Macaca fascicularis: one gene and its partner. The protein of the gene in region 1 purifies or fractionates together with the protein of each later gene. This does not show direct contact. Links are inferred from orthologs where the notes say so. Each region holds a gene or a part of one and is shown in the gene's direction. Other genes may lie near its edges.

Region 1 (7,252 bases):
TCCCCCTCTTGTTTTTTTTCTCCTCAAAGAAGCTGCTCCCTGGGACGTGATTGAAATTGATCTAAGTAGTTTCCTTCGGGCATTTGGGATTTGGGCAAACGGCCAGACCTGGCTCCTGGTCGCCTTCGGAGGCTTTTAAACTCTCCCAGAGCTTCGTTCAGGTCCCGGGTGCTCATCAGCGTAATGGAGATTTTAAATTAGCCGGATTATTAAAGTTTAACAAGATCTCCATAAATGTGCTTTTCTTTTTTCTTTGGAAAATCAATTAGATATATCGCTGCTGCCCCTCTTCAGAACGCTGTAGTGTGCATTGTAACTCAGACGCCTAGTTTCGGGGGAAAGGGGAAACCATGATTTTCCCGTGTGCTTGCTCACACTGGCTGTGTGCGAGCCTGGGGAGGGGGAGGGATTGCCTGTGGCAGGAGAGAGGCACACAGCTAAGTCAGCCTGAGCCCCCGGGGTGGGCTGTGCTCAGTATAGTCCCTGCCCGGAAAAATGATGTGCTCACCAGAGCAGAGTGGTGTAGAAACTGAAATTTGTAGAATTGCCAGTAGTATAGACAACCTTATATGGACATGCAGGCAACTGATCCTCGTGAAAATCAGGGCAGACATAATTTAATCCTAAAATGTTTCCTACCATTTTTCTTTTCCAGTGGCTAGAAAGTTTGAAATGGTGGGGAGAGGGGATGCTGATCTCGGCAGTTGTAGCTTCTTGAAAGGTTGGTTGCGGGGCTGGGGAAGGGGCGCTGTCCATGCCACACTGCATGTCCATTTGAACTGGGTCCTTATTGGGCTGCTGATCAGAATTTCAAAAGGAAGTCTCCTTTGGCATTGCGTGAAAGAAATCAGAGTGATGACTCATGCAGTTGTACTCTTGGCCAGTAGATAAAGTTCTTGTTCATTGTGGGACTCCCAGCAGGGCCGTGGAGTAATTTCCCCTTGCATCCTTCACAATAGCAGATGGCCATGCTGGAATTATTTCTGCACTCCTGTTGTTGAAGTTCCTTGTTTTTCTCTGACCACTGTAGAAGTAATTAAAGTTCTGTGTCATGCAAGGGCCTGCACTTGGGAACGGCATTCTGTGAAAACATAGGCGGTCTGGGTTGCACGGGAAATGGGTGGTTTTTCTGCAGCTCCATTCGATGCCCCTGAATACAGACAGCTGCTGTCTCCTCTCCCCCGAGTGTGGCCCTGCGTTGTCAGACGTGTCCCCAAGGGGGTCCCTCAGAACACGCTGTGTGCCGTGCAGTCTTTTTTGTCCTGTTGTGTGGGTATCTGTGGGGTGTGAAGGGTGAATGGCTGGGGCTTTCCTTAAAACACATGGTTCTTGACAATGTCAGATAATCTGGTTGAACCTGTTGGGGGGGTATGTGTGTGGGGCCGGTTCTCTTCCTGTGGTTTCATGAGAAACATCAACACTGGTAACTACAACAAAAAAAAACCGGCTTAGTAATCATCACTCATTGTGGCCGTTGACCCAACATTGGGAAAGCCAGGAGAGGTTTCGCCCTCTGACTTTTCCTCTGAATTCTTACCATTCTAGAAACAGATTTCCTCTAACTTCCGTAAGGACATGGATGCTTAATTATGAAAGGTTTTGCCCCTGTAGTGATCGGGCAGCAATGTATCTGTCCTTCATTCTTGCATGTTTTTGGAAATTGCTTTTGCTTTTACTTTTGGTTGCCATAGCAATCACGTGCCTTCTCTGGTTCATTTTGCACAGACCTGCCTGGAGCTGGAACGTTACCTCCAGAGTGAGCCCTGCTATGTTTCAGCCTCAGAAATCAAATTTGACAGCCAGGAAGATCTGTGGACCAAAATCATTCTGGCTCGGGAGAAAAAGGAGGAATCCGAACTGAAGATATCTTCCAGTCCTCCAGAGGACACTCTCATCAGCCCGAGCTTTTGTTACAACTTAGAGACCAACAGCCTGAACTCAGATGTCAGCAGCGAATCCTCTGACAGCTCCGAGGAACTTTCTCCCACGGCCAAGTTTACCTCTGACCCCATTGGCGAAGTTTTGGTCAGCTCGGGAAAATTGAGCTCCTCTGTCACCTCCACTCCTCCATCTTCTCCGGAACTGAGCAGGGAACCTTCTCAACTGTGGGGTTGTGTGCCTGGGGAGCTGCCCTCGCCAGGGAAGGTGCGCAGCGGGACTTCGGGGAAGCCAGGTGACAAGGGAAGTGGCGATGCTTCCCCCGACGGCAGGAGGAGGGTGCACCGGTGCCACTTCAACGGCTGCAGGAAAGTTTACACCAAAAGCTCCCACTTGAAAGCACATCAGCGGACGCACACAGGTCAGTGCCCACGCGGGCCCCGGAGGGCGGCCGCTGGTGGGCGCCACTGCACTGCACCAGCCCTGGAGGGAGCCAGGGCTGGCTCCACGGGATGTGGTCAGAGCAGACAAATCCTCACTTCCTCAGATGTTTTCCACCAAAGCATTGGGTCTTTGTGGAGCTCAGAGTAGAATCCTAAAGACTGGACTTTTGAGTTGGATAAATGCGTAACAGTTTTCAGATTAAACAAACAAGAGACTAGATCCTTTTCTCCATGGACACCCAAACCTCCACCCCCCGTAGCAGTGCCCGGGTTCCGAGGCCACTGCCCCTTCACCGGTGCACACGCGCGAGGCTACCTCGAGTTGCCCTTGGGTTTCCTAAATGGAACTCGGGTCAGGACAGAGGGTTGCTGGGCAGCATGGAGTGTGTGGGTTTGATGCTGATGACCCGAGGCCCAGGTGGGACCGGCCTGCTCTGTTAGCAGCAGCATTGATCAGCGGGTGTTTCCTGAGAACCTCTGTGTGTCTCATGCAGCCTTTGTTTCTGATACCGCTTGAAACAATTTCTTAATGAAATGCCGTACCTTAGGTGAAAGTACTATTTTGAAAATACCTTGACATATTTCTAGGATAATTGGTGAGGAATCAGAAAATTTAGAGCTGGGAAAGGTCTTAACGATCACGTGATGCAGACTCTTCTCTTATCAGTAGGAGAGCAAATTGCTGCGAGTCAGTCCCAGACAGGCTTGGTGACAGCTGAGATTGAGATCCAAGTGGCCTGAAATCCAGGCCCAGGCCTGTCTCAGCATACCCTAGGATTGGCTTGGCAACTTTGTTTTCTCAGGTAGCACTTGTAGTAAATTCATATTTATGATTTGACCAAGGAATGAAGTGAACCCGGTTGTTGGATTGCCATTTAGAGAATGATTCCAGGGCGTTGCGCTGGGGCTTTCCAGAAGCTCCTCACTGCAGCTTTGTAGAAAGGTGACTGTCCCTGAGGAAACTGCAGAGACTCATTCCATAGGGAAGTGAGTACGAAACAGAAGTGTGTTTGGGAGAAACAGTTACCATAGAGAAAGCAATAGCTCTGCCTTTGCGGGGGCCGTGGGTCCGGCAGGCTGACACCTTGTCCCGCAAGCATTTTGCTGGTCTGAGTTGTGGTCATTCTTCACGTTAACTTTGATTACAGCACCACAGGCCTTGCCGAAGCCGTGTCCCTTGGACAGCAGTGGGAGGCCTGAGACTGGGTCAGGACAGAGCTGCTGTTGTCTCTCCGAGGCTGCCAGTTGTAGTCCTTCCTTGAAGTGTGTTACCAATGCCAGAAGCCACTGGGTCCCTGACCTCGCATCCCGTCACTGCGTGTGGGGTTGAATTTCCCCCTTCTGTCTGCGGGTCAGTGAAGTCACGGGCCGCTTGTCCTGTGCTCTCTCCGCAGGAGAAAAGCCTTACAGATGCTCGTGGGAAGGGTGTGAGTGGCGTTTTGCAAGAAGTGATGAGTTAACCAGGCACTTCCGAAAGCACACCGGGGCCAAGCCTTTTAAATGCTCCCACTGTGACAGGTACGTGCCTGAGGACGGCGCTGGGCAGGGAGCGTGGGGCCTTGGGAATGTGATGACCAGGGTTATGTAGGCGTGCAGGGCACGTGGGAAGGAAGGCACACGGTTTCCCATGTGTGAACGTTTCTTTTCAAGCCTGGGACTTTTTAGAAAGTTTCTGGTGTGCTCGTTGGCCGTGGTTAGGAAGAGCTGTTCCAGGTACACCTGACACTGGAGTCTGTTTATTGATAGTGTTTGGAAATTGGCCTTTCAACAGTTTTCGTATTTGAAGAATTAGAAATGAAGTCCGTTCAGATTCTCCAGAGAACCTCCGGCCACTGATGGGAGACATTCTTAATTCACATTCCTATCAGTTGGTGTCTCCTGTCCCTGAAGACACTGATGAGGCTTGGGAGGAGAGTCACATCTTTCCCTGCAGGGGGTTAGGCTGGGCAGGGAGACATTCTTAATTCACATTCCTATCAGTTGGTGTCTCCTGTCCCTGAAGACACTGATGAGGCTTGGGAGGAGAGTCACATCTTTCCCTGCAGGGGGTTAGGCTGGGCAGGGCAGGGAGGTGAGGGCGCTGGTCCGGAACACTGGCGAGGGTTGGAAACCTAACTTCTGTGCTTCTGATTTGCCCTTGCAGGTGTTTTTCCAGGTCTGACCACCTGGCCCTGCACATGAAGAGGCACCTCTGAGGGAGCAGAGAGGTGGATCCTGTAGGCTAAAAGGCTTCCAGGCTGAGAGCCGGCCGTGGAAGGAGGGATGCGTGTTCCAGCCAAAGCATGCCGTTCTGCACCCTACCCAGTTGCCTCCAGGGCCTCTCCTTGGAAGGTCTTTTGAGGGCTAAAACAGTCCTGTAAGAAGCGGCATAGCACCCGTGGTGCATGGTATGTGGGTGATCCTGGACTCGCCACTGGTACCCGACCTTCCAAGTGGCGCCTAAGCCTTTGCCGTGAGCATGCGCACTGAGAATGTTAATGGTTGGGTTGATTGTATGTTGAGGATCTATTACTGACTGTATGATGAGGCCAACTTTTTTTCCTTGTGGTTAGCAAGACTGCAAGAGATGGAAAAAAAGTAGTTTGAATGTTTTGTGTGTAAGGAGTATACCATGAGATGAGATGACCACCAATCATTTCCGGGGGTGGGGGGAGGGGGTGTCTGCACCTTAGAAAAAAACAAAAATCAAAAAAACAAAAAAACAAAAACAAAAAAAGGAAAATCTTGGAGGGTGGGCGTGGGAACTCAGGACCCCAGAGTGGCGAGTGGTGTGGGGAGGGAGAGCCTCTCTCCCCGTTTTCTGCGTGAGAGGAGCTCTTAGTGTCTGGTGCAGCTATTAAATGTGCAATGTGTCAAGTAGCTTGTTCTACACGCTACAACATAGCTCATTTGTAACCCATTGTATAAGCTGTGTATTTACAAATATAACACAACCATTTAACTTTTCCTTAGAATACAAAAAGTCATGCATGGTCTGGGGAACTATATGCTTTTCCATTTTTAAGTCAGGACTGCAATACTGATTCCAGTTAATGAGCAGCTAAGATCCAGTCTGTCTAATACAGTGACCCCTAGCCATCCGGGCCTGGCAATCTACAATTTTTTTCCCCTCCGAGTTTGTAACACTCCCCTTCCAGAAAGGCATTGTGCAACACAGGATTATTTTTAAATGCTTCTGAATTTGAAGTAACTTTTTGGAGAATTGTGTGATGCCCTTTGAAGAAATTGGACACGTATTAAGTGTCACAAAGCTGGGGCCGGGAATTGGTCTAATGTTTCATTAGGCTAAGAACCTAAAATTTTTCTCAGTTGGGTGGATAAAACCACTAACGCTTAGAAACTGTTTTCTCATGCAGCTATGTTTCTCTTATTTATGCCTTGAGGACTAATTTCTGGTTTTCTAGCTGTTAATGCACTGTTGACCTTCATAATGGTGCCTTACGCAAGCGATCCCTTATGTGGGGGTCTCATACAGGGGTGTGGGCGATGCATGCTTAATTAAGGCTCTTTTTTCACCTGGCAGTGTACTGTATCAACATATAACACAGAAAAAAAAAATCTCTTTAAGGTCCTCCTTCACAAAAACATAGAGTGAAACTCCCTTTACATGTCAGTATTTGTTCAATACTTTAGACAACTTGACTGTCAGTGTTCAAATGGAAAACATGAAAATGGAAAAATCTGACCAATTCTGCCACCTTGAGACTTTCATATAGACCTTGCACAACAATTGTATAGATCACACACCGGCTGTGTTTAATATGTAACATTTTCACACATATTAAAGATACAGAAGTATAAAAAAATAAACCCAATGTTAATGTATTTGCTTAAAAGGCACAAGTTTCACATATCTGTCTAGCTATCTGTTGGTAATACAGAAAGTATACTACTTTTTTTAAAAGTGGGCAGAATTCTTGTGTATGTATATTTGTGTGTATAGTATGTGTATGTGTGTGTATATATATATATTATATATATAGATAATATATAAATATTTTTTTTAAGGAGAAACTAGAATGTTTAGCTAGAAAATTCCACAGCCTGTGAAGAAGTATTTCAAAATGGCCATAAAGGAGGTAAAAATGAAAACTATAACCTAACTTTTATAGAGGCTTTATCTTTAATTTAACAATGTACGGAGGACTTTCTTGCTTGAATCTGTTCCGGGCTGTCCGCTCTGTCCATCAAATGGGCAGGTCTGGAATGGGGCACCTTTGGCCGTTCAGAAGGGGCCTGAACAGAATGCTGGAACCCAGGCTGGACTCGGACACACTAAGGTTTTGATTTTGAATTTCAGCCTTACTAGATGATCTAACCTAAGAGTGAGCTAACCACAGGGATTCTTTTGTAGAACACTTTTTATGCAGAGGAAGCTATTTTTTCCAGCATGTAGATTCTTCCAGTTTTTCCGAGGGGTAATTTCCCCGAATTGGCATACCACAGCGTGGACAGCTGATATTTCACCCAGCTGCAGGCTTGTGGGTGTGACTCTTTGCTTTATATATATATACACACATGTGAGTCTGGCTGGGCTGGTATTTTGTTTGATCTTCCTGGAAATGAGCAATGACTAACGCTCACATAACTGGTTTTTTTTGTTTTTTGTTTTTTTAAATCTGAGCTGATGAATACATTTACCTAAGGAACTCATTTCATTTTGCTTAGAGGGGAAGTGCAGTTTTCTTTCAGCAGTTCGGAATCCAAGCACTTGATTTGCTGGGTTTGGAAAACTCCTTTTTTGGCCTTCTGTGTGCTTAGCCATAACAATTCCATTAAGCAAGAAGGTAAACAAAAGACAAAAAAAAAAAACTTGCACTGGCTTGTCTCACTTATGAAACACGTCGGAGCCGTTTGCCTGGGTGGGGCTGGGTACCGTACCTGTCAATGCCTGTGATTTTCATAATTAGCACGTACATAAAGAAGTACAT
Region 2 (8,072 bases), on another chromosome or scaffold:
AGCTCCGCCTCCCAGGTTCACGCCATTCTCCTGCCTCAGCCTCCCGAGTAGCTGGGACTACAGGCGCCGGCCACCTCGCCCGGCTAGTTTTTCGTATTTTTTAGTAGAGACGGGGTTTCACTGTGTTAGCCCGGATGGTCTCTATCTCCTGACCTCATGATCCGCCCATCTCGGCCTCCCAAAGTGCTGGGATTACAGGCTTGAGCCACTACGCCCGGCCCTTTCTGATAAATTTCATAACAAAGGTATATAAGAGGATGACGCCATTTGAGCTGACCTGGAAGTAGGGGTAGGATTTTTTTTTTTTTTTTCAGGAGCTAGACAGTAAAAATTAAAAAGCATTTATATATTTACTTACTTTGGGGACAAGGTCTCTCTCTGTTTTCCTGCCTGGAGCGCAGTGGCAGGATTTGGGCTCACTGCAGCCTCAACCTCCTGGGCTCAAGCGATCCTTCCACCCCAGGCTCCTGAGTAGCTGGGACTACTGGCGTACATGACCATGTCTAGCTAATTTTTGTTATTTTTTTGTGGAGACGGGGTTTCACCATGTTGCCCATGACTGGTCTTGAACCCCCGGGCTCAAGCAACCCGCTCGCCTCGGCCTCTCATAGTGCTGGGATTACAGGCCTGAGCTACTGCGCCTGGCAGCATTAATTCACTGAAGAATCTACAGAAAACTTTTTGTGGAACTATTCTGGGTTGGAATCTAACACTTACGACTCATTTGCTTTGTGACCTTGGGTAAGTCACTTCTCAGCCTGAATGTCTTCACTTATAAAATACATAATATAGCTAATACTTAATAACATCTTCCTGATAAGGATGACACGAAATACCAACTGCCTCCCTGACTTAGGCACCTAACACTGTAGGCAGTCAGCAATTACTTCACCTTTTTACCTGTCTAAAGCATCAGAGGCCTCAGTTCTTTTTTTTTTTTTTTTTTTTTTGAGACGGAGTCTCGCTGTGTCGCCCAGGCTGGAGTGCAGTGGACGGATCTCAGCAAGCTCTGCCTCCCGGGTTTTTACGCCATTCTCCTGCCTCAGCCTCCCGAGTAGCCGGGACTACAGGCGCCCGCCACCTCGCCCGGCTAGTTTTTTTTTGTATTTTTTAGTAGAGACGGGGTTTCACCGTGTTAGCCAGGATGGTCTCGAACTCCTGACCTCGTGATCCGCCCGTCTCGGCCTCCCAAAGTGCTGGGATTACAGGCTTGAGCCACCACGCCCGGCCAAGGCCTCAGTTCTTAACTCCAAAGGGCTTAAAATAGTATAGGAGAATTCAGATTTTAAAACATAAGAACATACAAGCAAGCGACAACATTTAAGATACAAATACTGAAGGACATGACCTTATCGTGTCATTGACAAGCTATCAAGGCCGGCTCCACCAAAACACGGATAAAGAGGAGGCCAGAAATCCAGGTGCCTGCAGTAAAGTTTAACCTTCGTGATTGCAAAAAGCAGGAGCTCAACTATCTTGCTTTATGCATAGGCGGTATTTACTATTAACTCCGAAAAATGGAAGTGACTTATCCGCACTTTAGCCTCAAAGCTTGAAAAGTTAACCAGTCGTAAGTGGTTAGCGCCTTTGTCTGGCGGAACTTAACAAAATGGCGTTTTCTGGAATCTTACGGAGACTCTGCATATTGGTCAGCTCAGTATTAACTTATTTGGTGAGCGCTGTCCCCAAATCCCGTTCCGGCTGCACTCGCAGGGCTTGCAGCGACATTGAGGTATCTGCCCGCCTGTCCGCCCACCCGGGAAACGGGTAAGATTTGAGAGGTACTTTATAGGGGCAGTTAAATGAAGACTCAAACAAATCCTAGTGTTGATGCGGAACTGCGCGCCGAATGCCTTGGCTCTGACACCTGTTGAGCTGCAAGACTCCACTAAAGCGTCCCACCTAATGACTGTAACAACGTCCCCTGAGGTGGGCCAATATGGCGACGGTCTCCTCTTGGCACAGCCCTCTTCCCTCCCTCATGATGGGCGGCTCCGGTAACGCCCATTGGCCAACTAGGAGGCGGTGCCAGGCTTACTTCGTTCCCTCATTGGATTGAATAACTGAGGGAGCCGCCAATTCTCCTCTGCCACTCCAAGTTTCCGCCCTCAGAGTTAATCTGGCGTTTAATTGGCTTTTAATTCACGTCAATATGCGTCCTTTCCTGTCTTTTTTCAGTCTTAATCCAATCATAACTTTCCTGGCTGCCCGCCTGATTTCTGATTGGTTTTAATCAGCTTCAGCCTATCCTATTCCTGTCTACTTCTTACCTCTCCTCCCACTAGGATTTTGCCCAAGCATATCCCGGATTCTAGTTGGCCGTTGTTCTGTCATTCCTATCAAAGCTTTCCCTATCCCAATGTCTCAGGGAGCCCGCCTGCCGGTTGACTGGTTTCCTTCCAAGCCAATAATCCCCAGCTCCCGCCCATCTTCACTTCCTGCATCCTTCATTGGCTTTTAACACTGAGAGGGCTGTCTTTTTGGGCGGACACCAGGCACGCAACTTAGTCTTACACGCCTTAGAGAGCAAGCGAGTCTTGCCATTGGAAAACCTCACCGTCTTTCTTCTGCAAGTCCCACCTTTCCCCCTCCCTCATTGGGCGGGGCAGCAGAGAAGGGGCGGGGCATAGGTTGGGCTGGTGGCGCGCTGCTCCCTCCTCCTCACCCCCCCCTCCCTGTCCGGTCCGGGTTCGCTTGCCTCGTCAGCGTCCGCGTTTTTCCCGGCCCCCCCCAACCCCCCCGGACAGGACCCCCTTGAGCTTGTCCCTCAGCTGCCACCATGAGCGGTAAGGATGAGTCCACTCCAGGCTTAGGGGTGGGAGGCGAGTGAGGGGGCGCGCGCGAGGGCCGACCGGGCGATCCCCGCCGTGAGGGGGGGCGGGCGGGAGGCGGCGGCGGCGGCCTAGGTCCCGCCCGGGGCGGAGGGAAGGGAGGGAGACGGGGCAGTGGCTGGGCCTCCGAGGAGGAGGGGGATGGGCCGCCCGCCCCGGGGGAGGGGGCAGCGTGGCCTCGCCCGCCCCCTGCCCGCCCCGGCCACGGGGGACGGGCCTTACCCCCCACTACTCGGCCGCCCGCCTGAGGCTCCTCCCGCCGGGGGCTGGAGCCGCGGGGGCGGCCCGAGCAGTGAAGGCCCCGCCCGGGCCAACCGCTTGTCTGGTCCGTCCTCTGGTCGCCGCCTGCTCCGGCGCCCTCCTCCCCCCACTTTCCGTAGATTTCCCTTCCCCCCGCCCCACCGTCCCGCCCTTTCCACGCCCCTCACCCCGAAACCGCCCTTTCCCTCAGGGCCCGCCCTCCGCCCCGAAACCTCCTGACTACTAACCAGTACACCCCTTTAGTTCCTTAGTAGTATTCACAAATGTTTTCCTACTAAAACTTTTTATTTCTTTTTCCCTTCTCCTCTTGTTACTTTTAATACTTGGGTTTTTGTTTATCTCTCTCTTTTTTTTTGAGAGGGAGTTTCGCTCTTGTCGCCCAGGCTGGAGTGCAATGGTGCGATCTCGGCTCACTGCTACCTCCCGGATTCAAGCGATTCTCCTGCCTCAGCCTCCGGGAGTAGCTGGGATTACAGGCATGCGCCACCACACACGGCTAATTTTGTATTTTTAGTGGGGACGGGGTTTCTCCTTGTTGGTCAGGCTGGTCTCAAACTCCTGACCCCAGGTGATCCTCCTGCCTCAGCGTCTCAAAGTACTGGGATTACAGGCATGACCACCGCGCCTGGCCTCTCCATCTCTTTTAACCTTAATTTTAGCAAGCTTTCCATCCGCCCACATATTGTTTTTTGCCTTACTTGTCCTTTTTTCCCTTAGGATACTTTTTCTTATTTTGAAACTCTTTCAGCATGACTACCATCCTTCACATTTCCTATCCCCAAAGCACTTTTTGAATGTTTTCTTAGTTAATTTTGTGTAAGGGAGAATTGAGGCCCACTTTTGGCACCATTGAGCCTAGTTCATGTCCTGCATGCCCTGCAGCTCCCCTCTGCCCTCCAATCCATTTTCTTTATACTGGCGCCTTTCGCCTTCCTGTTAGTCATTGCTATTTCATCATAGCCTCCTTTTATCCTTCCTACTTCATCTCTTTTCTTCCCTCAAGTTTAAGTTGTTTGTTTTTTAATTGTTTTAGACCAAGATCACTCCATGGATGAAATGACAGCTGTGGTGAAGATTGAAAAAGGAGTTGGTGGCAATAATGGGGGCAGTGGTAATGGTGGTGGTGCCTTTTCACAGGCTCGAAGTAGCAGCACAGGCAGTAGCAGCAGCAGTGGAGGAGGAGGAGGGCAGGTAAGTGATAATAATAGAGTGGGGAAGATGTTGAGAGGATGTAAATATTCTTAGATAATTGCCTTACTCTTCATAGAAAGCTTTTTAGGGAGCTTATCAAAACCATTTTATAGATAAGAAGTAAGAGTATGGAGATCCCCAAAGACAGGAGTTTCAGCAATACAGATAGGTCAGCTTTTTGTTTCTGTTTTTTGCTCCTTGTCTGCACTACGTTGCTGTTTATTTGTTGTATACTGCCCCCTAGGCTGGCAGCTGGGTGTCACTAACTCCTTTCCTCTCCCTTATTTTTGGCCAGGAGTCCCAGCCATCCCCTTTGGCTCTGCTGGCAGCAACTTGCAGCAGAATTGAGTCACCCAATGAGAACAGCAACAACTCCCAGGGCCCGAGTCAGTCAGGGGGAACAGGTGAGCTTGACCTCACAGCCACACAACTTTCACAGGGTGCCAATGGCTGGCAGATCATCTCTTCCTCCTCTGGGGCTACCCCTACCTCAAAGGAACAGAGTGGCAGCAGTACCAATGGCAGCAATGGCAGTGAGTCTTCCAAGAATCGCACAGTCTCTGGTGGGCAGTATGTTGTGGCTGCCACTCCCAACTTACAGAACCAGCAAGTTCTGACAGGACTACCTGGAGTGATGCCTAATATTCAGTATCAAGTAATCCCACAGTTCCAGACCGTTGATGGGCAACAGCTGCAGTTTGCTGCCACTGGGGCCCAAGTGCAGCAGGATGGTTCTGGTCAAATACAGATCATACCAGGTGCAAACCAACAGATTATCACAAATCGAGGAAGTGGAGGCAACATCATTGCTGCTATGCCAAATCTACTCCAGCAGGCTGTCCCCCTCCAAGGCCTGGCTAATAATGTACTCTCAGGACAGACTCAGTATGTGACCAATGTACCAGTGGCCCTGAATGGGAACATCACCTTGCTACCTGTCAACAGCGTTTCTGCAGCTACCTTGACTCCCAGCTCTCAGGCAGTCACCATCAGCAGCTCTGGGTCCCAGGAGAGTGGCTCACAGCCTGTCACCTCAGGGACTACCATCAGTTCTGCCAGCTTGGTGTCATCACAAGCCAGTTCCAGCTCCTTTTTTACCAATGCCAATAGCTACTCAACTACTACTACCACCAGCAACATGGGAATTATGAACTTTACTACCAGTGGATCATCAGGGACCAACTCTCAAGGCCAGACACCCCAGAGGGTCAGTGGGCTACAGGGGTCTGATGCTCTGAACATCCAGCAAAACCAGACATCTGGAGGCTCACTGCAAGCAGGTCAGCAAAAAGAAGGAGAGCAAAACCAGCAGACACAGCAGCAACAAATTCTTATCCAGCCTCAGCTAGTTCAAGGGGGACAGGCCCTCCAGGCCCTCCAAGCAGCACCATTGTCAGGGCAGACCTTTACAACTCAAGCTATCTCCCAAGAAACCCTCCAGAACCTCCAGCTTCAGGCTGTTCCAAACTCTGGTCCCATCATCATCCGGACACCAACAGTGGGGCCCAACGGACAGGTCAGTTGGCAGACTCTACAGCTGCAGAACCTCCAAGTTCAGAACCCACAAGCCCAGACAATCACCTTAGCCCCAATGCAGGGTGTTTCTTTGGGACAGACCAGCAGCAGCAGCACCACTCTTACACCCATTGCCTCAGCTGCTTCCATTCCTGCTGGCACAGTCACTGTGAATGCTGCTCAACTCTCCTCCATGCCAGGCCTCCAGACCATTAACCTCAGTGCATTGGGTACTTCAGGAATCCAGGTGCACCCAATTCAAGGCCTGCCGTTGGCTATAGCAAATGCTCCAGGTAAGCTTTCCGATCTTTTGCATTTATTGGGAACCAACCCTAGCATCTTAGCTGAAACTTGAGTCTAAATAAGGGAATAGAGCTTTTTGAGATAACACTTTCTTGAGGGCTAGTCATATAGGCAAATAAATTTGAGAAATAGAGATTCTGTTTAAGTAATTTGGAACTGAAGTAAAGGAAACTTCTCCAGTTAGTTTGATGAGAAAGGAGCACTTCTGGGCAATATTTTGGAGTCTGTGTACTACTCAGTGTTTTTGGTGCTGCAGAATAAGGGTTGACAAACTTTTTCTGTAAAGGGCCAGATAGTAAATATTTTAGGCTTTGTGGGCCTCATGTGGTCACGTTTTCTTTTCTGTTTTCTTTTTTTTTTTTTTTGAGATAGAGGCTTGCTCTGTTACCCAGGCTGGAGTGCAGTGATGCAGTCTCGGCTCACTGCAACCTCTGCCTCTCGGGTTCAAGCGATTCTCCTGCCTCAGCTTCTTGAGTAGCTGGGATTGCAGACAAACGCCACCATGCCCAGCTAATTTTTGTATTTGTAGTAGAGACGAGGTTTTGCTGTGTTGGCCAGGCTGGTCTCAAACTCCTGACCTCAGGTGATCCACCTGCCTCAGCCTCCCAAAGTGCTGGGATTACAGGTACGAGCCCCTGCGCCTAGCCACATTTTCTTTTTTGTATGTTTTTTTCCGCACCCTTTTAAAAATGTAAAACCATTTTTAGCTCTAAGGCCTTCTTTGGCCTGTAGGCCAACTCCTCCATAGGATAAAAATTGATTATGGGCCGGGCACGGTGGCTCACTCCTGTAATTCAGGCACTTTGGGAAGACGAGGCAGGTGGATGGGTAGAGTTCAGGAGTTCAAGACCAGACTGGGCAACATGGCGAAACCCTGTCCAACAAAAAATACAAAAATTGGCCAGGCATGGTGGTACATGCCTATGGTCCCAGCTACTCGGGAGGCTAAGGCATGAGAATCGCTTGAATCCGGGAGGCAGAGGTTGCAGTGAGCCAAAATTGCACCACTGCACTCCAGCCTGGGCTACCGAGTAAGACTCTGAAAAAAAAAAAACCAAAATGTAGTCGGGCGGCTGAGCATGGTGGCTCATGCCTGTAATCCCAGCACTTTGAGAGGCCGAGATGGGTCGATCACCTGAGGTCAGGAGTTCATGACCAGCATGGCCAACATGGCAAAACCCCTTCTCTACTAAAAATACAAACAATTAGCCGGGCATGGTGATGCGCACCTGTAGTCCCGGTCACTCAGGAAGCTGAGGCCAAGAATTACTTGAACCTGGGAGGCAGAGGCTACAGTGAGCTGAAATCACATCATTGCACTCCAGCCTGGTTGACAGAGCAAGACCCTGTCTCAGAAAATAAAAAAAAAAAATTTGATTATGAGCTGGGTGCGGTGGCTCATACCTATAGTCCCAGCACTTTGGGAGGCCGAGGTGGACGGATCATGAAGTCAGGAGTTCAAGACCAGCCTGACCAATATGGTGAACCCCGTCTCTACTAAAAATACAAAAATTAGCCAGACGTGGTGGCACAAACCTGTAGTCCCAGCTACTCGGGAGGCTGAGGCAGGAGAATCTCTCCAACCTGGGAGGCAGAGGTTGCAGTAAGCCAAGATCGTGCCACTGCACTCCAGCCTGAGCGACAGAGCAAGACTCCATCTCCAAAAAAAAAAAAAAAAATTGATTATGAATTTTGCCCGTTTGTAGAACACAGATTATCATCAGATATTTCTTGTGAACTGTAACTCCTAATTGAAGGAAAAATGATCTAATGGGTTGCTTTTCAACAAAATAAGTTCCCTGGTTAGTATTAACCAGAATATCCCACACTGAGCATGCTGGTTAATCAGGGTTGAATTTTTTTTAACTCCTAGTTATCTTAAAAACAAAATCCCATAGCTTCCCTTCACACTAACATATGAGTGTCCTAGGTGATTCTGGTATTTCCTAGGTAGCAGTCTAACTTCCTAGT

What was found.
Region 2: the proteins of KLF6 (region 1) and SP1 purify together in Homo sapiens (affinity purification with western blotting, with the first as the bait; 3 studies listed by BioGRID). This does not show direct contact. The link is inferred for Macaca fascicularis from reciprocal best matches to the Homo sapiens genes KLF6 and SP1.

The regions. Positions count from the first base shown.
Region 1 is NC_088383.1:4,681,810-4,689,061, reverse strand, and holds part of KLF6 (Krueppel-like factor 6), read left to right. Parts: intron 1-1,725; coding exon 1,726-2,299; intron 2,300-3,715; coding exon 3,716-3,839; intron 3,840-4,464; coding exon 4,465-4,516; 3' UTR 4,517-7,252.
Region 2 is NC_088385.1:60,179,594-60,187,665, forward strand, and holds the start of SP1 (transcription factor Sp1), read left to right. Parts: upstream 1-2,677; 5' UTR 2,678-2,779; coding exon 2,780-2,786; intron 2,787-3,037; exon of another isoform or gene 3,038-3,156; intron 3,157-3,290; exon of another isoform or gene 3,291-3,321; intron 3,322-4,125; coding exon 4,126-4,283; intron 4,284-4,578; coding exon 4,579-6,091; intron 6,092-8,072. UniProt on the Homo sapiens protein: Transcription factor that can activate or repress transcription in response to physiological and pathological stimuli.